Linked DNA regions of Elephas maximus indicus. The protein of the gene in region 1 interacts with the protein of each later gene in a pairwise test. Links are inferred from orthologs where the notes say so. Each region holds a gene or a part of one and is shown on either strand. Other genes may lie near its edges.

Region 1 (15,798 bases):
CTTCTGTCCAGAACACCCTCGCCCACCTAGGCTGTCCTCAGGCTCCAGAATCCAGCTCAGGGTTCACCTCCCCCAGGAAGCCTTCCCCAAGGCCCCCAACCAGGGTTAGATGCCCCTCCTTTCAGAGCTCAGCACCGCCTTGCCCTGTGACCAACTCACACTGCCCCTGATGTGCGTCCCCCCCACCACTACCTTTAGAGTCTTTTGTGCTGAGCCTAGGAGGAATGCAGGCAGCAGGCTTCTGCCTCAGGCCACAGGCCACAGGCAGAAGAGGGGGTGGATGGGATGGCCCCTCCCAGATCCCCATCACCCCCAGCCCAGGGCCGCACACCCTGCCTCCAAGAGGCCTACCCCCAGCTCCAGGCATGCAGAAAAACAGGGTCCTGTCCTATATGATAGACAACGATGCTGGTGAGGAGTGAACTTCGTGGCTCAAGTAGACACACGAGACTATGCGGGTGACTCCTGTCTGGTGGCCAGATAAGAAGGAAGAGGGGGACAGGAGTTGGTTGAATGGACACGGGGAGTACAGGGTGGAGAGGAGGAATGTGCTGTCTCATTAAGGGGAGAGCAGCTGGGAGTGCACAGTGGGGTGTGTATGGCTTTTTGTATGAGAGACAGGCTTGATTTGTAAACTTTCACCTAAAGCACAATAAAAAAAGAAAGGGGGTCCTTTCGCCTCTCCCCCTCCTCTGCCTGTTGCAGTCCGGCTCTACCCTCACCAAAATCCCTCTCACCAAGGTCACCAGTGACTGCCTTCTGGCTAAATTACAGGGGCCTTTCTCAAGCTCATCCACTGTTGGTCCTTCCCTGCTTTTTTGCTCTCAGGACACAGCCTCCCCTCAATTGCCTCCTACCTCTCTGGATGCTCCTTTTCTACCTCCTATTGGAATCCTTTGTATCTTATCTGCTCTATCCAAGGCCTCCACTGTCCCTGACCATCTTCTTTATGTACTTTATACGCTCTCCTGTACCATGTCATCCACTGTCCGAAGCCAGCTGCCATCTCTACCCTGAAGACTCAAATCCCTGTCTTCCACCCTGACTCCTATCCTGAGATCCAGACCCATCTATCCAGCTGCCTCCCTGTATCTTCCCCAACAGCCTAAAGCTGGCTGCCCTAGCTCCCTCACCAACGTGCCCCTCCCTGTAGGCCCTAGTGAGGTAGTCAGCATGGTTACTCTGGCATCAGTAGAGGGTGGCCTGGTAGAGGCCAGGAGGCCATGACTCCCACCCAGCCTGTTCCTCCAATACCACAGCCCTGAGGTGAGCTGTAACCAGCTCACCTTGGCAAGCCCAAGGCTTGGGATCCCTGAAAACCCATGCTAGTGGGAAGGCTTTGGCAAGGAGGCCCAAACTTGGAAGAAAGAGGGCTATGGAGAAGTCTGAAGTGCAGAGGCCAGCCAGAATTGGGGATCAGATACAGTGGGCCAGGCTCAATGCTCCTGCTCCTAGTAGCCCCAGGAGCAACTCTGGCCAAAGCCACAGGACTTCCCCATATTGCAGCCCAGATGGGTCACACTGGACATAACCACCGAGAGAGACGACAGCCAAGGTTCACAGAGAGCTGGTGATTACATGTTCCCATCACACCCGCACTCTTCCCCTCTCCCAGAAAAAAGAAGAATTCATAAACATCTGCAGGAAAGGAAATTCCAGTCCATCCCATTGCCTCTCAGGAAGTTCCTCCTGCTGTCTAAATCTGATCCTTCATGCTACCAATCGAGTTGGTGGAAACATCCCAGTAGGGACGTACAACTTGAGGCTAGGGGTGCAGTGGTAGGCCAACTGTGAACCAGACAAGCTCCCCTCCTTTGGGACAAAAGTGTGGAGCAGCAGATAGTTTTGTGGACAGACAGGCCTAGGTTCAACCCTCACTGGCTGAATGACAATGGGCAAGTTATCTTGCCTCTCCTAGTTTGTCCCTTGTCTGTAAAATGGGAACAACAATCCCTACTTTAACTGGATCATTGGGAGAATCAAATGAGATTATGCATATAAATCTCCTGACACATACCAGAGACCCACCACAAGTCCAGTCAACAAGCAAGACTGACAGATTCCACCTTCTTAATATTTCTTCTCAGCTCCATCCTGCCCAGAGCCTTAGTTCAGATCTCATCTTCTCTCAGGTTCCTCCCCACCCTCCTCACTGGTCCCCTGCTTCCAGCCTTCCCCTCCCATCTACTCTCCATGCTGCTGCCAAAGGCATCTCTCTGAACCAAAAATCTGCTCCTATCCCTCCCCTGCCTCACACTCTTCTCTGAATCACCACTGACTTCAGGAGAAAATTCTCTCTCCTTACTTTGACATTCCGGGCAGCGGGTGACTGGCCTGTGCTTACCTCCTAAGGCCCATCCACCACCCCCAGCCCAGCCCCCAGGCTGCACTTGTTGTTTCATGCCTCCAAGCCTCTACACATCTGTACCCTCAGCCAGGAGTGACGGCCCCAGTCCTACCCCCTGGCCCCCTTATCCTTCTAGACGAACTCAGTAGCTCCAAGGCCACCTCCTTCCCAGGAAAGCTCCCTTCACCATGCCCGCTGCCCAGGTCTGGGTTGGGGACTCATCCTTAGGCCTTCCATGGTGCGTGTCACCCTGCATCATAATCACCTGCTTTGTAGGCGGATGGAGTCAGTCATCTCTGAACCCCAGGCCCTGGCACTCAGAAGGCTCTCGGTCAGCATTTGTTGGAAGAATGTATGATTGGTTTCAGAGCACCTTGTTATAGCAATCATCATAATAGCTACACTGGATTAGTCCCATTCAGGTCTTTGTCTCTTTCACCCTTGGTCCTGGGAGTTCCTAGAGGTCAGTGGCAGTTTCTGATTAATTTGTATTGTCACTTTCATACAGGGGGTGCAATCTGAGGCAGAGGGATGCACGTGATGGCTCCTGATCCTTAGAGTATTGGGTATTGGCAGTTTCCTCTTCTAAGTCATCAAGTAGAATCCTAAGGCTTAGGAAACAAGGCAGGGCATGGCCCATTATTGATTTTGCCCTTTTCTACCAAATTACTCAGATTACCTGTCTGGAAAGGGAGAGAGAGGCCTCCTGGGACTGTGGTGGTGGCTGAAGGGAGGATCATCTGGTGGAGTTTAGCCAGGCCTTGGCTCTAGACTTCAGTCAGGGCCATCTTTCCTCCCAGTGGATTCAGTAAGCGCAAGGAATCCACACACTGTGAACTCAATAAGCACAATTCACAGCTCCAATTTACAGATGGGAAAACTGAGGTCCAGAAAGCTGAAGGCAATTGCCCAAGGTCCCCGAGTTTCTGTACCGAATTAGAGGCACAGTGGAGGAGTGATGGAAAAAGCCCTGGCTCCAGAGACAGGGTCTCCAACAGGTGCCCATTGGGGCCTGACTGCTCATGGTGAACGCATTCTGCCAACAAGCCAGCAGGGGAGCAATGACACTTCTCCCCAAGTCACCAAGAGGCAAACCAAGGCCCAAGAGGGGCTGAATCACCCTGATCATGAAGCAGCACTGGCGGAACACAGGACAGGAGCTATGACTCCTGGCCCCCACTGTGTCCTGCAGGGAGAACGCAGGAGTCACACACCCTCCTGCTGAGGACAGACAGCTGGACACAGTGCTGGCCAGGCCTTCTTTGATGGAGAGTAGCCGTCAGGGTGAATGCAGATGCTCTGTGACCTTTCGCAGCTTCCCCCATAAGCCTGGGCCCCACACACAGAGCAAGGTACGCCACCCTGTCTCCCCAACCCAGGGCCCATGAGGGGCTTGGCAATGCCCAAAAGGGAGCCACAGAGAAACAGAGCAGGTGGGTTCCAGCCTCTACCCTGCCTCTGACCCCTCTTGACCTTAGGCAAGCCAGGTGACCTCTCTAATGCTCCAGTTCATCTTTTGGAAAACGGGAAAAGGAAAATTAACCTCCTGGAAGAGCTGTCAGGAGAATGGTGGAGAAGCAGTTTCTAAACACTAAAAGGATAAGTTATCTCTGAGCCTCAGTTTCTTCTTCCAGAAAATGGAAATAATTTCTGTAGGACCTTTCTCCTGCTACTGAGATCTCAGAAGGCAGTGGGTAAGAAACTGCTTTGTCAGTGGTCCGGAAGGTGACGACCACTAGTGCGGTTTCTCTCTAGTCCGTTAGCTCCTTCCGGGAAGGAATGCATCTTGCAAGTCTTTGACCCCACACTGTGCCTAGTACACAGTAGGCTCTCAATAAATAATTGCTGGAAAGAAGGAGAGAGAGGGAGGGAGGGCTGAGGGAAAGAGAATGGAGGGAGGGAGGAGGGGGGGAGAAGTGGGACCGGGGATAGAAGGTAAAGAAGGGACAATTGAAAAAGTCCAAGTAGCAAAAAGGGGTAGGAAAGAGGAAGAGACAAGGGAGAGACTGCTAGCAGAACCTAAGGGGGCGGAAAGAGTGGTAGAGATAGAAGCAGGGTGACAAAGCTGAATACCAGACCAGGGCTTGTCTTGGTCCCACAGGGCTGTTCCCAGGGGCTACCTTGCCCCAGCCCCCGCCCCTGCCCCTTTTGTCCCAGTTTCCCGTTTCAGATGCATAACTTCTCTGGTTCCTAGTCTAATCTTCTAGGGCAGGCTCCTATCTAGGAGCCCCTCTCCCCATCTCTAGCTCAAAACAGATCCTGGCCAGCCACCCCAGGCCTCAGGAGGTCAGAGGGAAAGGAAAAGAGTCCATAGGACCTGTTTTTCCCAGGCTCCAGGCGAGGCGCCCCCACCCTGTGTGATGTATATGTGTTTCCATTTCTTACCATGTGGGGACTGGAGGGAGTGTGTCAGCAGCCCCGTGGTCGCTTGCTGGTGCCTATGGGGTGCCAGTCTGTGTGGGCATCAGTCTGACGTGTGTCTGTGTGGGTCAGTGTTGGTGTGGTCTTGCGTTCCACCGTGTTGGTGAGATCTGTGCTAGCACAGGTGTGTCTGGTCAGTGAGGGTGACAACGCGTGTGCCAGTAAAAGTATTACAGTGAGTGCAAGTGACAGTGTGCATGTGTGTCACTGAGGGCCAATGTTTGTGCGCCAGCATGAGGTATTAATGTTTCTATGTTTAGGTGTGTACCCACCTATGCCAGCATGACTGTCAGCATGAATGTGTTGCCAAATGTATACCACAGTGTGTATCTGGGAGTGTGTGACAGTGTGTCACTATATGTGATAAGTGTGTGACAGTGGATGTCATTGTGTGTGCTGTCATGAGTGTGCCCATGAGTGCGTGTGCCCCGTGTGTCCACATGAGTGTGTGCCATTGTGTGTCAACCTGCCCCCATGCGTCTCTGCGCCTGCCTGGCCAGGGCTGGGTGTCAGCGCGTGAGTGAGTGTGTGTGTGTTTCGGTAAGGAGCCGCGAGGCAGCTGGGGCGGCCCGGTCCTCACCCTCTGGGTACCCCCGCCTGCGGCCCCTGCCAGTGACCACACAAGAGACCCCTGGCAGAGGTGAGCAGGGTCCCGCGGACTCAGGCGTCAGCGGTCCTGGAGTGACTGCAAACGCAGCGCCAGGACGCGGACTACAACCTTCGCCTCTGCTATCGCCTAGGCCGCCCCCCCCGCGCGCCAGACCAGGCCACCGATAGCACTCACCGTGTCCCTTTGTCGCCCATGGTCCGTGGCGGCGGCAGGGAGGTCCACGGCTTCAGCGTACCGGCTGGAAAATCCCCGGCCGGCAGGAGGAGTGCGGGCCAGCCCGCTCCCGACTGCCTGCTCCGCCTCCTCTGCTCGCCCGGCCACCGCCTCCTCCCCCGCCCTCGTCCAGGTCCCCGCCTGCAGCCCAGCAGCGCCGCGCCGCGCAGAGCCCGGGCCGCGGCCAGGGGCGTGGAGCCGACCGGGGTGTGTCTGTCCGTGTGTGTGTGTGTGCGTGTGTGTATCTGTGTGTGAGTGCGTGCGTGTGTGTGTGTGCGCGCGCGCGCGCGCGCGTGCACCGCCCAGAGAGCCGCGAGGGCAGGGCAGCGATACACGTCAGGGCCCCGAGGTCTGCATTTGCCGGTATACAAGGGTGCGTGCCCAACTGTGTGCGCGTACGTGTGTGTGTGCGTGAAGATACACGCCGGCTTGGGTATATGTGTGCGGTGTGTGCACACGAGAGTATATGCCGCCTTGCAGTGCGTGGACACGGCGGTGTGCGCGGGCCTATTTGGGAGTGTATTTGTGTGGATGGAGGAGTGTGCACGTCTTCATGCAGTTGTGCGTGTGTACGCACTGCCGTGGGTACTAGTGAGCTGTCCCGCGCACACTGGAGACAGCCTTTGTGTGTGCTTGTGGGTGGAAGCCGAAGGTCGGCGCACCCCGGGGCCAAGCCCCTGGCGGCGCCCCCCGGCGGGGGTGAAGGGAATTGGCTTGAGACTCCGCATGCCTGGCAAGGCCCTCGCCCTATGCAACCCCCTACTTGAGAGATAACACCCAACCACCCAATAGAGGCAGGAAGAAGGGACAGAGAGGGCAGGCGAAAACAACATCGATATTGGGGAACTGATGAGGGTGGAAGGGGGCGGGAGGCGAGCAGGGCAGCGGGAAGAGGAAGCTGTGAGAGGAGGAGATAAGGAGTATGTGAAGGGAGCAAAGAACCTTCGGGGCTGCGAGCCAGGAGGCTGGCCTGGCCCGGTAGCATCGTGGAAGGCGCTCTGGTCCAGCTCCACCACCAGCTGTTGGTGACCCTGGACAACAGGCCTCTCAGTGCCAACTTCCAAATCTTTAAAGTGGGAATACCAATACTGTCCCTCAGAATTGTTCATAGATTTTAAAAATTTGCTTGTGTTTGCCGGACTCCCCCTGAGGGCCTGGCACACGGTAGGTACCCAGTAAATGTTGGCTCATCCCTCTCCAGACTTCTTGGTGTCCAGGGAAATGGCTGGCTGAGACCCTGATTTGTAGGTAGTGGGAGAGTGTGAGGTCTTTTCCACCCCCGCTCTGCTGGGATTTGGCTAATTGGCCCTGATGGGTCCCTAATATTGGCGTATTAGTGGGAGGAAAGGAAGCTATCATTTACTCTGATGCGATTGTGGGTCTGTAAACATCTCCTGTAATTATGCTCAGAAGCAGTTACCTATGCTGGTTTTATATATAGTTGGGTAATGATATCCCAGTATAATTACCATAATTATGTCTAGATTGGGAGGGGTGAACTGATGGGCAGGCAGGGTGGTCCAGGCTCCAGGCAATGCTAGGTGCAAGGAGAGTGTGCACTTAGGCCTAGAACCCTCCTCCAGGCCTTGACCTCTGGGCCCCATTCTCCTTCCAAAGAGAAAGAAGGGGAAGCCCCTGCTGTTTCTGCAGGGGTCAGGAATCTTGAGAACAGCAGACCATAGTTCTCCTATGATGACAAGAGACTCACTGGGTGAGCCAGAGAGGACCCTAACAGGATGCACAGGCCAGGTCTTACCACTCTCTGCACCCCAAGCTCCCCACTTCTAAAGCGTGGGTTCGACCAAACCACATGGTCTCCAGTGGCTCTCCCCATGCTGATGCTAAAGCACCTTTGAACTTTATTTAAAAATTCAGGCAGACTTTTTTTCCTGACTTTTTTTTTTTTTTTAATTGTTATAAAAATGCATGCAATACATTTGTCAGGCAAATTCTTAATTCCACTCAATAAATACTTATGTTCATTTTACTACAAAAATCACATTTTTAATTACGTTCAAGTAAAATAAACAGTCTAGGAAGATGCATCAGATGGTTTTGGGCTCCCCGCCCCCACACCCAATCCAGAACAGCTCTTTCCAGCCGGTTTGAGAAGCCTGACTCTAGCATTGTAGGGACATTGAACAGATTGGCAGACTATGGAGTCAACAGTCAAGGTTTCCAGTACATCTCCACTAGCCTGTAAACTTCATGAGGGGGTGTATGGTGTGTCTGGCACTACTTGAGGCTCAAAATTATGTGAAATAAATATTCTTTTCCCCATTTTATAAATGAGTGAATGGATGCTCAGAGAAGCTAAGTAATTTGCTTGAGTCCATAGCCTCCTTTGGACCTCCCTTCCTTGTGCCCTCCCCAAAACGGAGCTAATACATAGTAGACCAGAATTTAACCCACAATTTATTCTTCATTCAATAACAGTTTATTGAAGACCCACTATGTGCTAAGCATGGTTCTAGGAACTTAAAAATCAGTGGCCAAGAAGACAAATGCGGCTTTCATTTCAATGAGGAATCTAAGCTGGGGGAAGAGGAGTAAGAAGAGTATTTTGCTTTACCTGTCAAGCTCTGTTGTTGTTGTTGTTAGATGCTGTTGAGCCTGTTCTGACTCATAGTGACCCTATGCACAACAGAACAAAACACTGCCTGGTCTTGCACCATCCTGGCAATTATTGCTATGCTTGGGCCCATGGTTGCAGCCACTGTGTCAATCCATCTCATCGAGGGTCTTCCTCTTTTTCGCTGGCCCTCTATTTTACCGAGCATAATGTCAGTCTTCAGGGATTGATCCCTCCTGATAATATGTCAGGCTCTATGGAGAATGTATTCTGGTATTACCTGTAAAATCAAAATTAATATACACTTAAAAATAGTGACATTGAGGAGAACTCTATAAATATAAATAACATGATTTAAGACAGTAATAAGTATTATGAAGAAAATAAAATGGTAATAAAATAGAGTGCCTGGGGGCCAGTGTACTTACAGAAAGGCTCTTCAAGGAGATGACATTTGGGCTAAAACCTGTAGGTAAGGAACCAGCGATGTGAAGAGTCAAGGGAAGAGCTTCCCAGGAAGAAGGAGCAGCAAGTACAAAAGCTTGGCCTTTCTAATGGGCAAGAACAAGGACTATGTGGCTGGATTTGGGTGAACAGGGAAGGAAGGAGTGGTAGACCAGAAGCTGGCGGGGGTCAGATCAGGTAATGCTTTATAGGTGCGGGTGAGGAGTCAGGGAGCCAGTGGAGGGTTTAGGCAGGAGTAACAGTATCTGCTTTACATTTTAAAGGTCACTCTGGCTGTTGAATGGATACAACTTGGATTGAGACAAGAGCAGATACAGGGCGCCACATTATTGTAGTAGCCAAGAAAGAGTGGGTGGTGGTTTGGGCTAGTATGGTGGCACAGAAATGAAAAGAAGTAAGAAGTTCAGATATATTTGGAGGCAGAGCCAACAGCACCTGCTGAGGCGTTGTCAGTGGACTGTGGAGAATCCAAATGACTCAGAGATTTGGGGCAGGGCCTGTTTGTTCCAGCGTCCACACAGGCTACATCCCCACATATGGGAAGTGAGGTTGTGAGGACTGGAGTACTCCTTCCTTCCCATCTCAATCCATTTCTAATACATCCTCTAGCTGAACACCAGAGTGATTTTTCTAAAAGGCAAAAGGATTCTATTACTGAGGTCCATAGGAGTTGGTCATCTCCGACTATGTCTCAACTTGGGCCAGACATATGCCTGAAATTTACCACTTAATAATAATCCCTTACCCAAAAAAAGAGAGAGAGAAATGAAGTATTATTCCTGCTTCATATATGAGAAAGCAGAGGCTTTAAGAGGGAAAGGGCCTAGGCCAATGATATAGTAAATGAAAGGTAAAGATTGGGCTCAAACCCAAAGCATCTGCTTACCTGGTCATGTCGTTGAATGTCAGATTGAAGAGTGGATGGATAGGTGGGTGGATGGGTAAGTGGATGAGTTTTCAGCTCCTTGTTCAACAAAGGATTTGAGGTTGACAGCCCTTTGAGATGTTAGTAGATAAGAAACTAAGGACCTTCACCACCTCTGCCCCAACCGCAAATCTGGATGTCATCCTGGACACCTCCCTTGCCCACTTCAATCCGTAGCAACCCAGTCCCAGAATTCTCCCTTGTAAATATTCCTCGGTAAAGCTGGGAAGCAGGCAAGAGCCCATGCAGAGCCTGAAGTGTCATGCTAGGGAATATGATCTTTACCGAAGACCAATGAAGAGTGTTCGAAGGATTTTAAGCAGAGCAGTAGCATGATCAGACACGTGTTTTGAGATGATCACTCTGGCTGTTGTGTGAAGAATGAATTGGACCCAAGCCAGAGTGGTTGCAGGAGAAGAGACCAATTAGGAGGCAAAGTCAGCAGATTAAGGAAGGATGGTAACTGCCTTTCAGGGAGAGGACACATAACAGCTGTAAAGCCAGGGAGGAAGGAAAGGGCATGACACATTGGGGGAATTCAGAGCGATCTGTGGCCAAAGCATAGAGAGGGTGGGGGAGGGGCTGGGAAGAAAGATGGCAACCATATCCTAAGGAAGTAGGCTCAGAGACTGGGCAGCTTCGGGCTGTTTTAGGTTTGTCTAACAAGATTCCATTCCCCATTTCCTTGTGGTGGAATCATTGGTATTTATCGTTAGCTGAACAATTCAAGGTTCTCATTTGTAATCAGCAAAAACCAGTTCTGGCTGGCTTAAGCATAAAACGAATTTATTGGCAAGATATTCGGGCAGCTCCTCTGCTGAACAATGGACACAACTCACACCCCCACTACTGCCAGCACCAACCTTACCCCACTGCTGCCCCAGAAACTAGATATGGCCTCTGCCATCAAAATGGATTATTTGCTGGCCCTACACCCTTAAATCAATATCCCCAGTGCATCTGATTGGCTCCGCCTAGGTTCATATGACCCTTCTCTTGCTATTAGGGACACTGAGAAACTATGTAGCTGGCATTTGTGACATCCGTACTGGGAGGACACATATGGTGGAGAATTCTCCAAAAATAAGAAAGGATTTTAGAGAATGAGCAGCCAAAAAAACACAGATGTGCACGTCACTGGGAAATGCAGCTTGAGTAGATTCCTAATAGTTACAGTAAGAGCTCAGGGCTAGGAGGTGCAATTAGGGGTCAGATATTCTTGTTCAGGTTGCCTTAGTAATTGGTAGCTTTTAAAAACAGTGCTTCCCATTCCAGCAATAGTGGAGTACCTTGTATCAGTCTAACATTAACAATATAAACTTTGAACAAAATACAAAAAACAATATTTGAAGGCTCTGGAGAGCAAACAAAACCGGTCAAAAACTGGAGGGAACTCTACCTTTGAAAGATGGGAAACTTACTGGGCGAAATCCACTTTTATATGCTTTCTACCTGAGGATATTCCTCAGTCTGTGCAGCACAGGGAAGCTAGAACTCAAATAGAAAGCTGCAGCCTTAGTGACTTGAGGTATCAGAGGATCAAATTTGGGGCCACCAGATGGTTACAGCATGTTCTTCCCTAGAAAATAGCATCAAAAGAAAATGGAAGGTGTTGGCACAGGACAGGAACCATCCCCGAAGACAACTCATCAGACATGAAAGGGACTGGTCAGCAGCGGGGAGAGAGATGCTGATGAAGAGTGAACTAATTATATCAGGTGGACACTTGAGAGTGTGTTGGCAACTCTTGTCTGGAGGGGGGATGGGAGGATAGAGAGAGAGGGAAGCCGGCAAAATTGGCAAGAAAGGAGAGACTGAAAGGGCTGACTCAAGAGGGGGAGAGCAAGTGGGAGTAGGGAGTGAGATGTATGTAAACTTACATGTGACAGACTGATTGGATTTGTAAACTTTCACTTGAAGCTTAATAAAAGTTATAAAAAAAAAAAAAAAGATTACAGCCTAGAAAACCCCACGGGGCAGTTCTACTCTGTCACATAGGGTCACTACGAGCCGGAATCAACTCAACGGCACCTACCAACAACAGTATTTTTCTTGGAGATAATATATGTGAACTATCTATAAGTAATCAGAATGGACCTAGTTTTAACTCTTATAGTTTTTATGTTACTTAAAATATTTAGCCAGATCTGTCATTTGGAAATTACTGAGTGCATTGGTAGGAGAGCGTGCTTGTTGAGAGAAAGAACGTAGGTTTTAGGCAGGTGTTTGGAGAAAGGGAAGAAATGAATCACTACAGTAAGTTTATAAAACCAAGTCAGATGCAGAAGTTTTGCAGAGGATTAGTCCTCAGATAATATTGCCTTTTTACTACCTATAATAAAGAGAATATAAATTTTTTTCTTGTATGACCTGACGTGTATTTTTCTTGGCTAAAATAAATATGGGTACATTAGGTTTAATGAACTGCCTGGTCAATTACAAAATGCCCAAATACAGATACCCACATTTCTTTTTATTTAAGCTCTTTATAAGCAAAGTATCATAAATTCGATAGTTTCTTATTAATTTACACTTTCTACTTGGAGATTTAAAAAAAGGTATGAACCAGAGGCTTAGGGTAAATGTTAAGCTCCCTACAAGTGTCCATCTCTTTCATTTTAACTTTAAGAGTTCATGACCCAACAAAAAGAAAAAAAAAAAAAAGAAAATGGAAGGAATACTTAGAGTCATATTACCAAAAAGAATTAGTTGACATACAACCATTTCAAGAGGTAGCATATGATCAGGAACCAAAATGACTGAAGGAAGGAGTCCAAGCTGCTCTGAAGGCATTGGAGAAAAACAAGGCTCCAGGAATTGAAGGAATATCAATTGAGATGTTTCAAGGAATGGATGCAGCATTGGCAGTGCTCACTCATCTATGCCAAGAAATTTGGAAGACAGCTACCTGGCCAACTGACTGGAAGAGATCCATATTTATGCCTATTCCCGAGAAAGGTGATCCAACTGCATGTAGAAATTATCGAACAATATCATTAATATCACTCGCAAGCAAAATTTTGCTGAAGATCATTCAAAAGCAGCTGTAGCAGTATATCAACATGAACTGCCAGATATTCAGGCCGGATTCAGAAGAGGACATGGAACTAGAGATATCATTGCTGATGTCAGATGGATCCTGGCTGAAAGCAGAGAATACCAAAAGGATGTTTACCTGGGTTTTTTGACTATGCAAAAGCATTCAACTGTGTGGATTGTAACAAATTATAGATAACATTGTGAAGAATGGGAATTTCAGAACACTTAATTGTGCTTATGAGGAACCTGTACAAAGATCAAGAGGCTGTTGTTTGGACAGAACAAGGGGATACCGAATGATTTAAAGTCAGGAAAGGTGTGCATCAGGGTTGTATCCTTTCATCATACCTATTCAATCTGTATGCTGAACAAATAATCCTAGAAGCTGGACTATATGAAGAAGAACAGGGCGTCAGGATCGGAGGAAGACTCAACAACCTGCATTATGCAGATGACACAACCTTGCTTGCTCGGAGTAAAGAGTACTTGAAGCACTTACTGATGAAGATCAAAGATCACAACCTTCAGTATGGATTACACCTCAACATAGAAAATAAAAATCCTCACAACTGGACCAACAAGCCACATCATGATAAATGGAGAAAAGATTGAAGTTGTCAAGGATTTCGCTTTACTTGGATCCACAATCAACAGCCATGGAAACAGTACTCAAGAACTCAAAAGACAGTGCATTGAGCAAATATGCTGCAAAGGACCTCTTGAAAGTGTCGAAAAGCAAAGATGTCACCTTGAAGACTAAGGTGTGTCTGACCCAAGCGATGGTATTTTCAATCGCCTCATATGCATGTGAAAGCTGGACAATGAATAAGGAAGACCGAAGAAGAATTGATGCCTTTGAATTGTGGTGTTGGCGAAGAATATTGAATATACCGTGGATTGCCAAAAGAATGAACAAATCTGTCTTGGAGGAAGTACAACCAGAATGCTCCTTAGAAGCAAGGATGGTGAGACTGCATCTTACATACTCTGAGCATGTTTTTCAGGAGAGATCAGTCCCTGGGGGAGGACATCATGCTTGGTAAAGTACAGGGTCATCAGAAAAGAGGAAGACCCTCAATGAGACGGACTGACACAGTGGCTGCAACAATGGGCTCAATCATAAAAACGATTGTGAGAATGGTGCAGGACTGGGCAGTGTTTCTTTCTGTGGTACATAGGGTCTCTATGAGTCGGAACCGACTCAACAGCACCTAACAACAACAAAAACAACAGATGGTTAGAAATTGAAGGAAAGGGGGATAGCCACAGAGGGGTTATAAGCCACAAAATCTCCATATAGACTGTTCTCAGCTCCTTGGCTGACCTCTTACTGTACATGCAAAGGTATAACTCCAAGGAGCCTAGTGGAAAGCAACAGTTAGAAAGCCAAAATAACTGAGCAGAGATTGCAGAGATTGCCCCACCACAGGGAAGAGAAAATTTGACATATGGGTCTCCCTAAGTTATAGGAACTTGGTAAATATCTCAGGCTTTCCACTGAGACCTAAGAAGTGCCGTATCTTAACAGTAAAGACTATGTCCCAATACCTCAAGGATACCTGTGAATCCCTCAGGGCCTTCCATGCACATCTCTGCCTTGAAGACCCCGGACATATCCATGGCTGCCCCAGTCACATGACTACTACTAAAATTACTTAGGCAATCCTTGTATCTGTATCTGAATGCATGTTTTCATTGATTAAAATAAGCTGTATATAAATATAACCAAAAAAAACCAAACCCAGTGCTGTCGAGTCGATTCCGACTCATAGCGACCCTATAGGACAGAGTAGAACTGCCCCATAGAGTTTCCAAGGAGCGCCTGGTGGATTCGAACTGCCTACCCTTTGGTTAGCAGCTGTAGCACTTAACCACTACACCAGCAGGGTTTCCGTATACAAATATATTCGAACTGCTGACCTTTTGGTTAGCAGCCACAGCTCTTAACCACTACACCACCAGGATTTATATATATATATATATATTAGGATTTATATGTATATGAATATATATATTTATATACATATTAGCATTTATCTGTATATAAATATATATGTAAATATATATTTATATATATTAGGATTTATATGTATATTTAAATATATATTTATATATATATATAAATCCTGGTGATGTAGTGGTTAAGAGCTGTGGCTGCTAACCAAAAGGTCACCAGTTCGAATCCACCAGGTGCTCCTTGGAAACCCTATGGGGCAGTTCTACTTTGTCCTATAGGGTCGCTATGAGTCAGAATTGACTCAACAGCAATGTGTTTGATTTTTTTTTTTTTTTTGGTTTTATATATATATATATATCCCCTGATGGTGCAGTCGTTAGGAGCTTGGCTGCTAACCAAAAGGTCGACAGTTCAAATCAACTAGCCACTCTAGAGAGGAGATGAGAGGGTGGAGTGGGTTAGAAGCTGGTGAAATGGACACAAAAAGAGAGAGTGGAGGGAGAGAGTGGGCTGTCTCATTAAAAAAAAAAAAAAGGGAGAGTAATTGGGAGTGTGTAGCAAGGACATGGGTTTTTGTGTGAGAGACTGACTTAATTTGTAAACTTTCACTTAAAGCACAATAGAAATTATTTAAAAAAAAAAATCAACTAGCCACTCTTTGGAGACCCTATGGAACAGTCCTACACTGCCCTATAGGGTTGCTATGAGTTGGAATTGACTCTACAGCAATGGGTTTAAATATATATATATACAGCTAGATATATTTAATCTCAGATTAAAATTAGCTTTATATATAATACATAAAACTAATTTTATTCAATGATATATATATATTTTTCTTTTTTAATTGTGATTTAGGTGAAAGTTTATAGCTCAAGTTAATTTCTCATTCAAAAATTTATACATATATTGTTTTGTGACATTAGTTGCAATCCCCACAATATGACAGCATGTGCCCCCCTTTCCACCCCAGGTTCCCTGTGTCCATTCGTCCAGTTCCTGTCCCTTCCTGTCTTCTCATCCTGCTTTTGGACAGGAACTGCCCGTTTGGTCTCATATATTTGCTAGAACTAAGCAGCACGTTCCTTGTGTATTATTTTTTGTTTTATAGGCCTGTCTAATCTTTGTCTGAAGAGTGGGCTTCAGCAATGGTTTCAGTTGTGGATTAACAGATTAACAGAGCATCTCGGGGCTATAGTTTCAGAGGTTCCTCCAGTCTCTGTCACACCATTAAGTGTGTATATAATTT
Region 2 (16,269 bases), on another chromosome or scaffold:
GGGAGAGAGAAACAGGGTGTGTGCTTTCTAAATCCAAGGGTCCCCATGTTACTGGGGATGCCAAGATTTGGGCTGGTAGAGGAGATGGGGTCTCTTCTCTGGTTGCAGGGGTGCTCTGCTGACAGGAGCGAGCAGTGTCCTTCTACGGGGCCCCCCGGGCAGTGGGAAGACCACAGCAGTTACTGCTGCCTGCAACCGCCTTGGGCTGCACTTACTGAAGGTGAGAGTACCTGAAGAGTAGAGCCAACTACTTTCCCTCTCAGATGCAGTCTGTCTGTCTTTCTATGTTTTGGCCTACTAGCCAGGCCCTAGCACCTCAGTCAAGTGAGTCAGGCATATTCCCGTGATGCTCAGCTACTGAGAAGTGCTTTCATGAGAGAAGGGGTTTTAAGATTTTGGGTGACAGTTCAGAATCCAGGAAATAGCACTAGGGAATGGGTAAGGAAGAGGTGGGACTTTGGCTGTGTTACCCTCTTAATCCCTGCCTGCCAAAAAAAAAAGACGGCCTGCATCTTCTGACTCATTGTCCCCTCTCCCTGCCCAGTCACAGCTCCCCCTTGCTCACATGCTCACAGGCCCATTGGGCTCCTCTCCCAGGTACCCTGCTCCAGCCTCTGTGCAGACAGCAGCGGGGCTGTGGAGACCAAACTGCAGGCCACCTTTTCCCGGGCCCGGCGCTGCCGGCCGGCGGTGCTGCTGCTGACAGCTCTGGACCTTCTGGGCCGGGACCGCGAGGGGCTAGGTGAGGATGCCCGTGTGGTGGCCACGCTGCGTCACCTCCTCCTCGATGAGGACCCACTCACCAGGTATTTATATAGAGCTGGGCCTGTTAGCAGGGCAACGCCCAGCTCTCTGACTTCTCTTCAGCCTTTTTGGTCCTTTATTCCCTGTGGCCCCTCAATGACTTCTCGGACATCTACGCCCATTTGGCTGCCCTCTAGGCAGACCTGTGTGAAGGCCTTAGCGTGTCCAGAGGGAGCAAGATGTGGTCCCACCCCTGGGAAACACTGGCTTGAAGAAAAGTGAGCCCTTCATGTGATGGGGGAGAAAGGTTCCCCTCTCAAGGTTTTCCCATGGACCCTCATCCAAGAACCTTTGGGGTGCTCATCTCTGTCCCATCCTGGCACCCACCTCAACACCCTCACCCTCTGCACCAGCCTCAGGATGAGGCAGTGCTCAGGAGCTGCCAGCCACGGTCTTGCCTTCAGCGCCCATTTGCCTTCTGTGTAGCTGCCCTCCCCTGATGGTTGTGGCCACCACAAGCCGGGCCCGGGACCTGCCTGCTGATGTGCAGACAGCATTCCCACACGAGCTGGAGGTGCCTGTGCTGACAGAGGGGCAGCGGCTCAGCATCCTGCAGGCTCTCACTGCCCACCTGCCCCTGGGCCAAGAGGTGAACCTGGCCCAGCTGGCACGGCGGTGTGCCGTGAGTACCATGCAGGGTGCTGGGCCTCCCTGTGTTCCTTGTCCCAGGAACTCAGTCCTGCCACCCCGCAAGCGGAGGGGTAGAAAACCCTACTGCATCCACGCTGGGCCTCTGCTGCTGACAGGGGGACCACTTCCACATCCCCCAAAGGTTCCCACCTACTGTACCCTGCTCATCTGCCCTTTCCTCTGGTTCCCCAGGGCTTTGTGGTGGGGGATCTCTATGCCCTTCTGACCCATAGCAGCCGTGCAGCCTGCACCAGGATCAAGAACTCAGGGTAAGGAAACTCTGGCACAGGGTGGGGAAGGAGGCAAGAGGAAATATGGGCTGGGGCCTGGCGAGGAAGGGAGAAGGGAACAGGACCCTGGTGGGGAGGAGGCCTTAGGTGAGGTCTTTCAGAGGCTTCCTGAGTTTCTCTTTGCAGTTTGGCAGGTGGCTGGAGTGAGGAGGATGAGGGGGAGCTGTGTGTAGCTGGCTTCCCCCTCCTGGCAGAGGACTTCGGGCAGGCGCTGGAGCAGCTGCAGGCAGCACACTCCCAAGCTGTGGGCGCCCCCAAGGTAGACTCCAGGCCCTTGGAGGTGGGGCAGGAGCTCCTCCTCCAGAATATCCCCAGCCATGCACCCTCCGTCTCCTAGATCCCCTCGGTGTCCTGGCACGATGTGGGCGGGCTGCAGGAGGTGAAGAAGGAGATCCTGGAGACCATCCAGCTCCCTCTGGAGCACCCTGAGCTGCTGAGCCTGGGCCTCAGGCGCTCAGGCCTCCTGCTGCATGGGCCCCCTGGCACTGGCAAAACCCTTCTGGCCAAGGCCGTGGCCACTGAGTGCAGCCTTACCTTCCTCAGGTGGCCAGGGGCCTAGAAGGGATGCTGGGTGGGCTGGGGGCTGTAGCAGGCTGGGAGGGGTGGCCCGAGAGGGCGATTGTATGTGTCTGCATCTGGCAAGTCTCACCTCTCACATCCTCTCATTCAGCGTGAAGGGACCAGAACTCATCAACATGTACGTGGGCCAAAGTGAGGAGAACGTGCGGGAAGGTGAGCAAGCAAACCCTGGTAGTCCTGTGTTGCTTCCCTGCCCCACTTCCCCAGGCTGCTCATGGTGGTTTCTAGTCCGCCATTCCACAAGTTGGGTTCCTGCCCAGCAGAGTCTAGTACCTGGAGTGCTGGGGATGAATGGTCAAACCTCAGTTTCCTTCCTTCTTTGCCCTGGCTTCAAGCCCCACCCCCGTGAACTTCCCCCTCCCATGGGCCTTCTCTCTCCCCTCAGTGTTTGCCAGGGCCAGGGCTGCAGCTCCATGTGTCATCTTCTTTGATGAACTGGACTCCTTGGCCCCAAGTCGGGGGCGAAGTGGAGACTCTGGAGGAGTGATGGACAGGTGGGGTCTGAGCAGGAATGGGATCTGGGGTCTAGAATGGGAGGGATGGGAGACAGGTCACAGCCAACTCTGGACCAGAGCCCAAAGATACAAGTTCCTGTCCTTCTGGTTCTCAGATACTGTAAAAAAAAAAACGAAACTCCTTGCCATCGAGCCGATTCTGACTCATAGTGACCCTATAGAACAGAGTAGAACTGTCCCGTAGGGTTTCCAAGGAGTGCCTGCTGGATTCGAATGACCTTTTGATTAGCAGCCGTAGCGCTTAACCACTACACCACCAGGATTTCCTCAGATAGTATAGCGGAGGCTAAAAGCAGGGCATTGTTGTTGGGTGTGGGACATGAGGGAGAATGGGGGCCTGCATGGAGGGATGTGCAGGGCATGACTGAACAAAAGGCCCTGTTGAGAAAACTGGTAACAAGAGGCACACAGGACCAAGGGCTCTCCAGCCTTCTCTTCCTCCTTTCCAGGGTGGTGTCTCAGCTCCTGGCCGAGCTGGATGGGCTTCACAGCACTCAGGATGTGTTTGTGATCGGAGCCACCAACAGGCCAGACCTCCTGGACCCTGCCCTGCTGAGGCCTGGCAGGTGGGTACCCCATACCTCTCACGTCCACCAGGCCACCCCCATTTGGGCCTGTCCCTCAACCCCCACCCTGTATCTCCTCCACCCCTCATGGTGGGGTTCCCTGGTGCAGATGCCAGCCTAGGCTCCTGAGGGAGGAGGAACTTGACCTTCTCTACCTGTCTCCCTAAAGATTTGACAAGCTGGTGTTTGTGGGCGCGAGCGAGGACAGGGCCTCCCAGCTGCGGGTTCTGAGCGCCATCACACGCAAGTATGCCCTGTTAGAAGATTTCCAAAGGGTTCGGGCCTTGGGATAGACTAGCTGGCGAGCTTTTGAAGGAGTAGGCGATGCCAGCGATAATGCTGTCTCCTGTCTCCCCTCCACAGATTCAAGCTGGAACCCACTGTGAGCCTGGTGAGGGTGCTGGATCACTGCCCTCCCCAGCTGACGGGCGCTGACCTCTACTCCCTCTGCTCTGACGCTATGACAACTGCCCTCAAACGCAGGGTTCGGGACTTGGAGGAAGGTGAGCCACTCGCCAGCCCCAGAAGTCAGCCAAAAAGCAGGTGGAAGGCAGGCCTGGTTCTGGATTGCAGAGGAGGGACCGTTTACATCTGGGGGATTCTGGACAGGAAGGTGCCTCCACCAGGACTCTCCCTGCCTGGGCATAGATCTGTTCCCCAGCTGGCATGGGGACTCTGGCCTTGACTGGCCCTTGTCACTTCCCAGGGCTGGAGCTGGGGAACCCAGCACTGCAGCTCACTATGGAGGACCTACTGCAGGCTGCCGCCCGGCTGCAACCCTCCATCAGCGAGCAGGAGCTGCTCCGGTACAAGCGCATCCAGCGCAAGTTTGCCGCCTGCTAGGAGCCTCCTGTGGCCCGGGACCCACCCACAATGGCTAAAGGTGCTTCAGTATCCCCACAGAGACCTGAGAGGAAGGAAGAGGCTCTTCTCAGGCTATTTCCCACCCACCTGAAGGCTGCCTACTTCCAGGAGCTCCCCTAGGGTAGAGTGGCATTGGGAGTACCAGGAAGAGCTCAAGAGGCATGCCCTGTCTACCTGTCCCTCCTCCCAGGCCAGCTCCATGAGGTCAATCTGCTCAGGAGGAGGGGCCAGTGCCTGGGGTTCTGGGGATTGGCCAGATCCGAGGCTGAAAATAAAGTATATGCTGCCCTCTGCTGGTGTCATTTGGTGAAAGATTCATAAGGCACAGAGCCATGTGGTGAGAGAAGTAAACCCTAGGGGCAGGCGTGCAGGGGTGGGTACCATAGGAGCCTGATCCTTCTGACATAAACACAAGGCATATGGGAACTGAAAAAGGCACAGATTCTATTCTTAGCCCTTCCGTTTGCCTGAATTCAAATCTTTATGCCCACCTGTAGTTGGCCCCTCCCCACACCCCCGGTATCTGCCCTGCTGTCTGTGCCCACGTCCCAGACAGCCCGGCAGTGCCTGGGCTCAGGGCTGTGGAAGCTGCGGCTGCACTCAGTCTGTCTTCTTGAGCACGTGGATGAAGTAGCAGGGAACATAGGCCTGGCCCGGCTTGTAAGGCTTGAAGTCACCCAGGATGCTGTGCTGGCACTTGCCCCCGAAGGCTGCTTGGAGCAGCTCTGTGAAGGGTGCCAGGCAGTGTGGGTAGTAGGAGAGCCGGAACTTACTGCAACAGAGCCCCAGGAGACCTTGAGGGCAGGTGGCCCAGCTATCCCCCCCCCTCACACCCCTGCCTAGCCCTGTGGGTACCTCATGCCAGGAGACCCAGCCTGGCTGGCCCCAGGCACCTGCACTGTGTAGTCCAGGGTCACCATGTGGACTTTGTTGTTCACTGTCAGCACCGATGTCGTGATGTCCTTGGTCAGGTCACTCTGCAGGCCATGGTACAGACAGTATTAGCCTCTGCAGCCCACGGTGGGGCCCCTGGATCACACCTCCCACTCTGAGCCTTCCTCCCCCAGTGAGACCCACCTTATAGTAGATGTTCTTCCCTGGGGGTGCACAGCCTGTGCTGAGGATGTGGTCGTAGTTGCGGTGGTCAATGACCAACAGGCCCCCCAACCGCACCATGCTTGCAATGTTCTTCAGTGCCAGCTGGTGCTCGCTCTGGTCCCCTGAGCTCCAGGCAGGGGCAGGGAGGCTCCGTCTGCTCAGGACCCTCCAGCACCCATCTCCCTCCCATCTCTCCCTCTCCCTCCCCAGGGGTACCAGTGCCAAGGCAGAGAAGGGCAAAGCAAAGAATCCACTTTACAGGAAAGCAGGCACCCAGGGCAGGGATCTATAGAAAGGGATATAGCTCAGGGCAAGGACCATGCCCAAGGCCACACCCTCTCTCACCTTTGCAGTCTGGCAAGTGGGCAAAACTGTTTCCAAGGCAAATGACAGCATCGAAGCCACCCCCTGGTGGCTGGGGCACATCTTTGTCTAGAGTCATCCAGTTAGCTTCTTCAATAACTGGGAGCCAAAAAGGTGAAGAAGAACCAGAGTAACACAGTTTACATGGTACCAGTAGCACCCACCTCCAACAAATGCAGTCTTGCCTCTGTTTCCTCTTCAAAACAGGCACTCCCCATTCTGTTAGGGGGAGGGGATCATTATGTACATGGAGGGTGAGCAGGAAGAGAGGCCAGGGGAGGAGGAGGGCATAGTTGGGAAAGAGGACTCCGTGCTTATGGGTTTTCATTCATGGGGGGAGGTAAAGGACACAATAAACACAGTTAAGGTAGCTCTTCACGCCTTGTCCTTCTTCTAATGCCTAACCCTCCCTTATCTGGCAAGTGACAGTAATTTTTCTTCTGATCTTACTGTCCCCCTGGGGGTGGGACACCCCATCCATGGACTAAAGGAGCCCAGGGCAGAGAGAACAATGTCCCTGATAGCTGGGCTGGGGAGGGCTTGGCTGACCCGGCATACCCCACTCGTCGAAGCCAGGCTCGTGCCGCCGGTCCCAGCGCTCTTTAAGTGCATATTTCAGCATCCTGTCACTGGCATCCACGCTGGTCACGCTGAAGCCCTCTTCCACCAGCATGATGGAGTCCACCCTGGGCAGAGCCGGGGATGAGTGGCAAAAAGGGGCAGTCAGGGGGGCTGGGAGGACAAGGAGGAATCCCTGTGCTGGACATCTCTGCTTCCTCAACCCATCAGAGTCCATTCTTCTGCTTCCTTTTCCTGGGCCTTCTCTGCCGACCTCAGATGAGCTCACAAATCTGCTTATCACCACGTAGCAACTTTTTCTTTATCACCTATTCAGATCCAGGCACTCAACAAATGTGCAACCCTGTGAGGTGGTGTCTCCATTTTAGAGATGGGCAAGCTGAGGCTAGGGGAAATTAACTTGGGCACAGGAGGAGGCAGTTTAGTATGCACACGCCAGCCAGACCCTAACCAACCTCACTACCCTTCACCTCTCCACTACATGGGGGTCCTTGCTTCTCTGAGACTTAATGTGCCCAACTGTAAATGGGGAGTTCACTGCTTACCTCATAGGGTTTTGCGAGATTTTAAAAACTGATGTGTCAAAAGCTCCGGGACAGCACTTGGCACTGGCCAACGATGAACAAATGTTATTTGATAACATTGCCCAAGGCCAACCAACGCTCAAGGAACAACGCAGGAGCCAGGATTGAACTTGGCGTCGTCGGTTGGGGCTTTTCCACCGCCCCGGGAGCCCTCCCGCCCGGCCCACCGTTGCGCCCGCACCCTCACTCAAGCCCTCTCTTCTCGCCCCTCTATGGTCGGCCTCCCCCCGTGTCCTCTTCGTGCCCGTTCTGCCGGGACAGAGGGGGAGCTGCCCGGACGTGCCCGGCGGTGGTCCGAGCCGCCCCGCCGCGCCCCCCACCAGCCCGCCGGGCTCACCCCGTGCCGCAGGCCACGTCCAGCACCCGCTGGCAGCCGTGCTGGCGCAGCAGCCCGAGCAGCCAGGCCTTGTACTCGGCCGTGCGGCTGCGGGTGTCCCCGATGTAGAGCTGCCACACGCGCGCGGCCTCCCCGTCCGCGTACTGGTCCGGGAGCCCCTCAGCCGCCACCCCCAGGGATCGGGTCCGGTACACGCTGTCCACCATCCTGCGCCACGCCGAGTGCGGCAACCACTCGCTCGCACTTATAGCGTGCGTGGCCGCTGCCGCTGCCGGGGCCGGGCGACCCCACCTGCCAATGGCAGGTGAGCTCGGGATACGCCCCTGCTGGGCTCTGGCCCCGGCGTCGGCTGCCAGGCGGTGAAGAGGGTGCAGCCTCGAATCCTTGACCCGGCCCTTATTGTCAGGCTGAGGACCCAACCCTCTGGTCACTCCCACAGCGGGAAATGACCCTCCTGCAGTCCCAGCCCTCTTCCCACTTAACGTGGTCGCCAGGAGGACAGGGGAGGGTCTGGGAGAGGGGACCAGTGAGATTGCTCACTCCATCTGCACCCATGCTGGATAGAAAGGGAAAGAAATTTCCAACTTCAAAATTTACAGAGCTGAGCGCCCAGGGGGGCAGGTGGGGACCGTCCCCAGCGAAGGAAGTATCAGCATGTCTAAGGAAAGACTGCCCAGTGGAAAGGGCCTAGGAAAGGGAGAAAATAGGAAGTCTGTCCATCCAAGTCCAGGAAAAGAGAGCCCTGGCCCAAGGAATAGTCCCGCCCCCTTGGAGGCCAGTGTGCCTTTGTGGTGTAGGTGACGCATTAAGCTTTTCCCTGAGCCACCTATGCTGGAGTCTGGTGGCTTCCTTCCTATTCTTCCCCCTCCTATCGCCCTTAAAAAGACCATCGGCTTTTCACGGAGGTGCCCGCAGGGAGGGAAGTGTGGAGTCAGGGGTGAGGGTGATTGGAGCTCTTGCTATTTTATCGCTTCTTGCCAGAGCGATATATTGGTCCTTTGGTTTGGTTACAGTAAGCCCACCCTTCCTCCCCAGAGCAGTAGGCTTCTCTTCGGAGGACAAGATCCTGGGCTGATGTGGATTCCCTAAGACGATGCCACCCAGCAAAGCCTGAGACATGGAGAACAGCCCTCCCTACCTGACTTTGTTCTTCTGGCTGCAGAAAGAGTTACGGAATTTAGAGCAAAGGAGGCTCCTTCCCCTAACCACCTTAGCCTCCGTAGAATCTCGGAGCTGGATGAACCCCCAAAATCATTCTGAACTTTCTATTTTATGTGAACTGCCTCAAACAGGTCTATCCATGTTCAAGTCAAGGAGCCTTGTGCTCACGCTGACCCAGGTCTTTGGCAACAGGCTAAGAAAGGCATTGTAGTAGGGATGTGCAAGTAAACTCAGTTACTCTCTTAGCAGAATATTCTGGGGGAAGTCCGCCTCATCACCCCCAGGCTTAAAAAAAAAAAACTCATGTTAAAAGAATTATTCTCTCAGTTGTGGGCAGCAATCTGTGTGCTATGACCTCAAATCAAAGCAGTTGAGTGGCTGGCTTTTTTTTTTTTAAGTATGAGGCCTATCCAAGAAAATCAGTGCCTTCCTTGGGTAGGAAAATTCATTCTTTACTTAAAAAAAGCTTCACATTTATTTTGCCCTAAATCAGGAGAAAAGTAATTGATTATCTGGCTGTAAATGGACGAGTTCAGCATTAAAATCTGCTAACAATTTTGTCATATCATAAGAAATGAAATTTTAAGGAAAAACAGGCCTAAAATTAAAAGAAAAAAAATATTTAATTTCATCTCACTGGAGTTCTGTAAGTCCACTCAGGGAAAAATGAGTAATGACGTTAAATAGGAATAACAACCAAAATGACAAGAGAAATAATTTATCACTGTCCACATATGGATTGGCTGAATATAAAATATTTGAAAAGCTAACTAAGTATAAGTAGCCTAGGGCAATTCATCATTATTTTTTCTCATACTGTTTTCTCTTCCATTTGCTTTGTCTGGGAAAGGAATGCCGAAATAGGCAGGAGGGTCACTCTTTTACCCTTCTAATGCATTTGAGGTAAACCTGGGATTTTCTCAGGGCTCAAAAGCTGTTGAGAAATGTCACCTTTAGAATGACCAGGATCATCTCATCAACAGGTTGTTAAGGTTTACCAGGTTCTTTGGGTCTAAATATTTACGGGCAAGTATTCCTGTGACATTTCTCCTTGGGATATTCATATAACTAATGAAGCCTGGGAGAAGAGCATTGTTTGTAGCAGACATCTCTGTCCACTCTTTCACCTGGAAATTGCCAAAGAAGATCCAATTTAGAAACTCTTTGATAAAACTACCAACCAGGTGACAGAGTTGATTCCAACACATGACAACCCTGTGTGTGTCAGAGCAGAACTGCGCTCCATAGCTTTTGTATTTTTTTTTTATTGTATTTTAGATAGTTTACAGAACAAACGAGTTTCTCATCAGTTAGTACACACACTGTTCCATGACACTGATTAACAACCCCATGACATGTCAACGCTCTCCCTTCTCAACCCTTGGTTCCCCATTACCAGCTTTCCTGTTCCCTCCTGGCTTCCAGTCCCTTTCCCAGGGCTGGTGCGCCCCTTTAGTCTTGTTTTGTTCCATGGGTCTGTTAAATCTTTGGCTGGAGGGTGAACCTCAGGAGTGACCTCATTACGGAGCTGAAAGGGTGTCTGGGGGCCATACTCTCAGGGTTTCTCCAGTCTGCGTCACGCTAGCAAGTTCTGGTCTTTTTTTCTGAGTTAGAATTTTGTTCTACATTTTTCTCCAGCTCTGTCCGGGACCCTCTATTATGATCCCTGTCAGAGCAGTCAGTGGTGGTAGCCAGGCACCACCTAGTTGCACTGGACTCAGTCTGGTGGAGCCTGTGGTAGATGTGGTCCATTAGTCCCAACCCATAGGGTTTTGATAAAACTAGCTCCAAAAAAAAAAGTATTTTGTTTCATCTAGATAAGGAAAAAAAAAAAAAAGGTCATCTAGAACATCTATTTAAGCATCTTGCTTTTTAATTTGGTGTAATGTGATTTCCCCCTCTAGGGCAAGATTTTCCATGTCTAGAAACTATTTCAGTCTTTTCCTTTTAAGCTGAGAGCTGTTTGAAATTTTGGAGTAATCCTCAGACTTCCTAATGTTTGTACAGCATGTTGTGATTGGCCTGCAGCCATGCACTCACCATACTGATAAGGAATCTGACTTAAATGTTTGGTTTTAAGTATTGATGCCTAACACTTTGAGAAACATAGTTTTTTACCCCCAAGGCCATAATGCGATTTTTTAAATAATATGAATGCTGGTGGTAAGTTAGGGTTGAAAAAATTATGGATTGTGAGTACCTTCTATTTCAAAGATTTTAGTTCCCAAATTAATGATTTTCTTTCTCATCTAGATGTATTTTAAAAATAAACAAAATGTTGAGATCATAGTCTACATGAAATTTCATGTTTTTCTTCAATTTTTTTTTCTTTAAACTATCAAAAGTGTATTTTCTTCTCTTGACCATAAATTGCTTGGCCTTAAGCACCTTTTTAATGTCCATGTAACAGTCCATTGAGGGGGATGCGTTGTGACTTAATCATTCCCCAAGTTTTGAACATTCAAATATAGAAATCAATCTAGTTTGACTTAATTGAAAATAAAAATAGGTGATATTTGAAATATGCAAAACTTATTTGGAATTGGCTGAAAAGACTAAATTCTTCATCTCCAAATATTTAATATGTATGCAAAAAGACTTTAGCTTGGGACTATGGCTGCACCTGGACAAATTCCAAAGCAATTCCTCCCTGAGGACACATTAAAATCCTGAATTGTGATTCATGTATGTGCAGTAGCTACAAATGAAAGACATCTTGGATGTTTTTTATTTAGAACAGGTAGATATTCATTTTCAGATGATGGATGTCACATTCCAAACTTCGGTCCAAATAAAAAAAAAAAAACTAAACTCGTTGCCACTGAATTCAAACTTATGGCAACCCTATGTGTTACAGAGCAAAACTCTCCTTTACAGAAGAAGCCCTTTCTTCCGGGGTGCTACAGAGTGGGTTTGAAGTTTAACCTTTATGTTAGCAGTCAAGTGCAAAGCGTTTGCCTCACACAGGGACCTAACTTCAGTCCAAGCTGCTGAAAAAAGCTCTTCTCCACTGACACTGTCAACCCAGATTGAACACTGGATGCTGGGGGAGGGGAGGGAAGGGAAGCTGCCCCCCTGCATGGACTCTGCCAGCAGAATTATCACAGTGGGTGCGTTTTGGCACTTTTTTATGTACCATATAAGGCTCAATCTGATCTAAGTCTGGTTAAGTGTAAAATAGATTCCCTGTATCAGTGGGTTGTAACACTAGTAATGGTGCCTTCATTACTACTATACTTCATGCACCTCTGAGAATTTCACCAATGTATGAGGACAGGTTCTCTTTGACCATGTCACACGTTGCTAAAAGCAGTTTTAAGATGTACTAACGTTTAACGTCCATTATAAAACCCTCGTGGCGTAGTAGTTAAGAACTACAGCTGCTAACCTAAAGGACAGCAGTTCAAATCCACCAGGCGTTCCCTGGAAACCATATGGGACAGTTTTACTCTGTCCTATAGGGTCATTATGAGTCGGAATCGACTCGAGGGCAACGGGTTTGGTTTTTAACCACCATTAATCTCTCTTTGGTATCCAGGGGACTGCTCACTGTTTTTCAACATAAAAATGGTACACTAATCATTAAGGGTGATGGAAAAATTCCGGATAAATGGTGATGGTTGATCAGCATGATGAGCGTAAGTCACTTAACTGTACATGGGAAGTGTTGAAATGGCAACTATTTTGCTACCTACATATTTGCCACAATTAAAAAAGATATACTATTCAGGCCCTGGCAACAGGTTAAACATTGCTCATTGAAACATGTGACTTAGTACATGCCATCAGATCTAGGTGAGGTAGAGAGTAAATTTTGTTTCTATTTGGGCACTATAGTGATGCAGGGCAGCTGTAAACATCGGGACAGGTTGTACACTGTGCAAGGGCTCCACATTTTTTTTTCTCCCATTTTAACCATTTTTATTTAAGGGCTCCACATTTAAAGGGCTCCATTCACATTGCCAACTTTATAGGCTTGTGTACTTATTATTATATAATTATAATCTTCTGGCAAACAGTGTCTTATTCTAACAAAACATATTTAAACAACCTTCTAACAGATGGAAGTCAAATGTGTAAAGAGCATCTTTCTCTAACTTGTGCAAAGGCGCTGCATGGAAACGCCACCCAGCAACTGGGATAAGGAGTGAAGCCTGCCTTTTAGGCACTGCCCTTTAAAATTCACACACACAGGCCCTGAGGTGCCACTGCTGATACTAGAACCTAGCCCTTGAGACTTGACTGTATCCCTGCCTGTGGTTCTTTTAAGCACTGAACGGGTATAAACTGGCCTGTGCTTTGTCCACCTGCCTTTGGGAGTCTGGCTGATGGAAATCTCCTACAAAGATGGATTCAATCTGGGGTTCTGAGAAGTTGGGTTTCTGAGGACAAGACCCTGGCCCAGTGTGACTTCATCAAAGCCCCATCTTAGGGCAACACCTGGGGTTGACAAATGCTGGAGTCCATGGGTGGTACAAATAGTTCATGTGCTCAGCTGCTAACTGAAAGGTTGGAGGTTGGAGTCTACTCGGAGGTGCCTTGGAAGAAAAACCTACCATTGAAAACCCTATGGAGCACGGTTCTACTCTGACATACATGGTGTCACCATGAGTCAAAATCAACTTGTCAGCAACAGGTTACACTGCCAAATGTTGCCTGAAGTGGGTCCCAGCGGGCTATGTCAGAACCATCAGAGATGCCTGTTAAGCATGCAGAGTCTCCAACCCAGCAGGACTGAGGTGGGTCCAGAGGTCTGTATGTTTAACAGGTGACTCTCATGTCCAGGCAAGTTTAGGAAACTGTTTTAGTAGGGGGACTGAGATCAGATTAACTCAGGCTCAGGCAGTACCCTCACCTTATGGAAGGGAAGAAATGTGGGAAAATGGACTTACTAGCCAAGTTCAAAAAAGACTTGTATGTATGGTGGGAATAGGAAAAGAAAACCCTGGGAAGTCAGATCCTGCCTCTGCCTCTGCTGGGGTGGGCTGGGTGCAGAGCTAGTGAGTGTACAACACACCTGGCCCTCAGGAGGGGGAGGGGGCTTGTCATCCCGCAGCCACAGGTCAAAGAGCAAAGCAAGACAGCGCTGCCTGTCCTGAGGATTGGCCCATGCGGCCAACACCCTGGGAAAGGCGATAGGCCTTTGCCCCATTCTACCTTACATTCAGAATCAATGAAACTCCAGGGACAGAGGCAAACCAGGCACTGAAATGCTGTGGGTTAGTGACAGAATGGCGGGTATCAGGGACAGGCCACCGAATCCTAGACAGTCCAAGGGGCTGCAAATGATTGCCCACCCTGGGTTCCAGCCCCCACCCCACCCCAGCCATCTCCTATGCTCAGAGCAAAGTCCGGGGGCGGGGGGGGGGGTGGGACCTGGCTCTAGATTGGATCTCACTGCCCACCAGCATCTTTAACAGTGGACAGTATCGGTCCGGAGATGAGGCGGTGGGGGTCTAGATGAAAAAAGTATCTTCCTCCAAGGACCTAGTTTTAAGCCTCCACAGCCAGTTTGCTCCAATCTCCATGGTCAAGACTGCCTTAACTTGGAGGAAGGGGAAGCGGGGCTAAGCAGGCCCCCTCACCCACAGTAACTGAGACCTGAAAGCCTCTTTACTAAACCCCTGAGAGTCTTCAGCAGAACTCCTTCCTGCTGGGCCCAGACAGGGAAAGTGGGAGGTGGAGTCTCAGTCTTGGCCTCTGTCTGTGAAGGCACAGCTCCACGGGGCCTTTGCCATTGATTCTTTCCAAGAAGCAACAGTTGCTTCCTACTTTCCTTTTAAAAGAGCCTTGTTGGTAGGTGGTGAGTTAGGCCCAAGAAACCAAACCAGTTCAAAATGAATTAGTTTCAGTGCTAGATGTTAGGAAGAGACCCTGGTAGCTGTGAAGTAGTGGGAAATACAATAGATCTTTCTAAGGTGAAAACCTATGTCTGCTTGTACCACTGTCCCCAAGTAGTAGGACTTTGGGCACTTTACTTGACTTCAGCCTTAATTTCTACAAAATGGCTTAAGACCACAAGTACATTGAAGCACTGGGAAGACATACAACTGTCATCGCTACTGCTCACAACTGTCCTGATCCCTGACCTCAGGACTGACAGGGGAGGGACCTGAGCCTCCCACCCCTTCTCCCCACAGGCCAGCCTTTTGTTCCTCCCCTGGCCCCAGGGAACATAGTGTAACCAAGAGGTGTTGCTGAGGAACTGGGGTGTCCTCCCCTCAGACTCCAGCTGGGAAGAGCAGAGTGCTCAAGTGTGGTCATCAAGGAACAAGGTCCAAGACCAATAGGCAGGGCCACGTGGAGGTGGGAGGGAGAGGCAGGAGCCAGTGGGATAACCAGTAAACACTTTACACAACAAATGGGAAGGCCCTGGGGAAGGACAGGCAGGAGAGGAGGGAGCAAAGAGAAAGAGGGCAAGCAAGTGCCCAGGGCATGAGGTTCAGCTGAGGGACAGGGTCAGGCCCCAAAATAACCCTGGGCCCTCCCTGTGTTTGCTGTTCCCAACAGCTGGTAGGTTCTGCCTCCAGTGGGAGGATGGGGGCGGCTGAGAGAAGGTGAGGGCCAGGAAGGAGCAACAAGGGGCTCCAGGGCACTCCTGAGGGGTTGAAAAGGACTCAGAAATCGGGACAAAAAAGGCCAAGAGGTTTTTACTCTGCACACTGTACTGTGAGCCCCAGGGAAGAGGGCCAGAAGAGCGTAAGGTGTCCCCAGGGCAGGGTTAGCAGGGAAGGGGAGCTATGGGTGCTGCAGTCTTGCTCCCCTGTAGGGTAAGGCATGGGGACTGAAGGCTGGGCATGCCTCCTGTGGGCTCCAGTCCTGGTGCCCAGCTCAGACCCCCACCCCTCCTGAGTTTACATCAGAGTCCTTGGCAGTCCTGAAACCACATGGCCTGGTCAAGCCCATGTCAGGAGAGATGCTTGGCTGAGGGATAAGACCGGCTCAGGCTAACCGCTACTGTTCTGAGTTCTTCCTGGGGCTGTGCTTTCCTTGGCGGGAAGAGGGCACAGCTGAGGCAGGAAGGACCCTGGGGCTGGAGAAGCCGCCTTTGCTTGCCAGAGCCTGCCCCAGCTTCTTTAGCTTCCAGGTCAGGGGTCTCTTGCTACACCCTTGGTACAGGGGATGCTGGGTTAGGCTCAAAGCTCATCGGCGGGGCTATGTGTGAGTGGGGATGCCTTCTGGATGCCCTCCTCCTCCTCAGGGCCGGAGTCTCCCTCGAGGTCACCCAGCTCTTTCCTCTGTTTGCTGCTGCTGCTCCTGCCACCTGAGGCCTTGGCCTTGCTGCCCTTCTTCTTGGACTTCTTCCTTCCCAGGGCAGCCGTGTCCCCCTTCTTGCCAGACCACTGCTCTGCCAGGCAACCTGGAGTGAGGAGGGAAGATTCCTCAACAGAGGCACCTCAGGAGTGGCTTCCTGGGTGAGAAGCACTGACTGGGGAGCAACTGGAGTTGGCACCCACCTCCTCCCTCACTGTGTCCACCAGGCCCCCTGGGGGCATCTGCGTGATCCACTGTTCTGCACCTGGTGCCTCTTATCTCACCGTGCCCTGTGACATCCGCAATTCCCTTTCCATCCTCTCCCTACCCACCTTCCCTGAGGGGGGGAGCAAACCAGAAAATCCTTTGGGACCATTCGCCTACCCTCTCCCTCCCCTCAGACTCACTGGTGTCCTTTCCCTTGAGCACGTGGTTGGCACAGAGGAACTCTGTCAGGTCCTCCTCCTGGTGGTTCCTGTACCAGTCCTCGATCACCTCCTCAAACTCCTCCACCATCACGTCGCACTGTTAATCACAATGCCTCACGCTGGCAAAGCCCAAGCACCGGGCTGCCTCACAGATGAGCTCACTGAGCCTCACAACCCACTGCAAGATGGCAGGTGGCTGCAGTTCTCCTAAGGACTC

What was found.
Region 2: the proteins of ARRB1 (region 1) and GNMT interact in binary tests that used the Homo sapiens proteins (3 or more experiments, as listed by UniProt). The link is inferred for Elephas maximus indicus from reciprocal best matches to the Homo sapiens genes ARRB1 and GNMT.

The regions. Positions count from the first base shown.
Region 1 is NC_064825.1:47,147,234-47,163,031, reverse strand, and holds the start of ARRB1 (beta-arrestin-1), read right to left. Parts: upstream 5,800-15,798; 5' UTR 5,573-5,799; coding exon 5,553-5,572; intron 1-5,552. UniProt on the Homo sapiens protein: Functions in regulating agonist-mediated G-protein coupled receptor (GPCR) signaling by mediating both receptor desensitization and resensitization processes.
Region 2 is NC_064819.1:107,373,911-107,390,179, reverse strand, and holds GNMT (glycine N-methyltransferase), read right to left. Parts: upstream 7,724-16,269; 5' UTR 7,416-7,723; coding exon 7,210-7,415; intron 6,396-7,209; coding exon 6,268-6,395; intron 5,809-6,267; coding exon 5,692-5,808; intron 5,469-5,691; coding exon 5,326-5,468; intron 5,226-5,325; coding exon 5,104-5,225; intron 5,021-5,103; coding exon 4,849-5,020; 3' UTR 4,644-4,848; downstream 1-4,643. Other genes in the region: PEX6 (peroxisome biogenesis factor 6), read left to right, coding at 109-220, 598-1,022, 1,231-1,426, 1,627-1,703, 1,851-1,983, 2,062-2,267, 2,395-2,456, 2,689-2,797 and 4 more; CNPY3 (protein canopy homolog 3), read right to left, coding at 15,507-15,730, 16,032-16,149. UniProt on the Homo sapiens protein: Catalyzes the methylation of glycine by using S-adenosylmethionine (AdoMet) to form N-methylglycine (sarcosine) with the concomitant production of S-adenosylhomocysteine (AdoHcy), a reaction regulated by the binding of 5-methyltetrahydrofolate.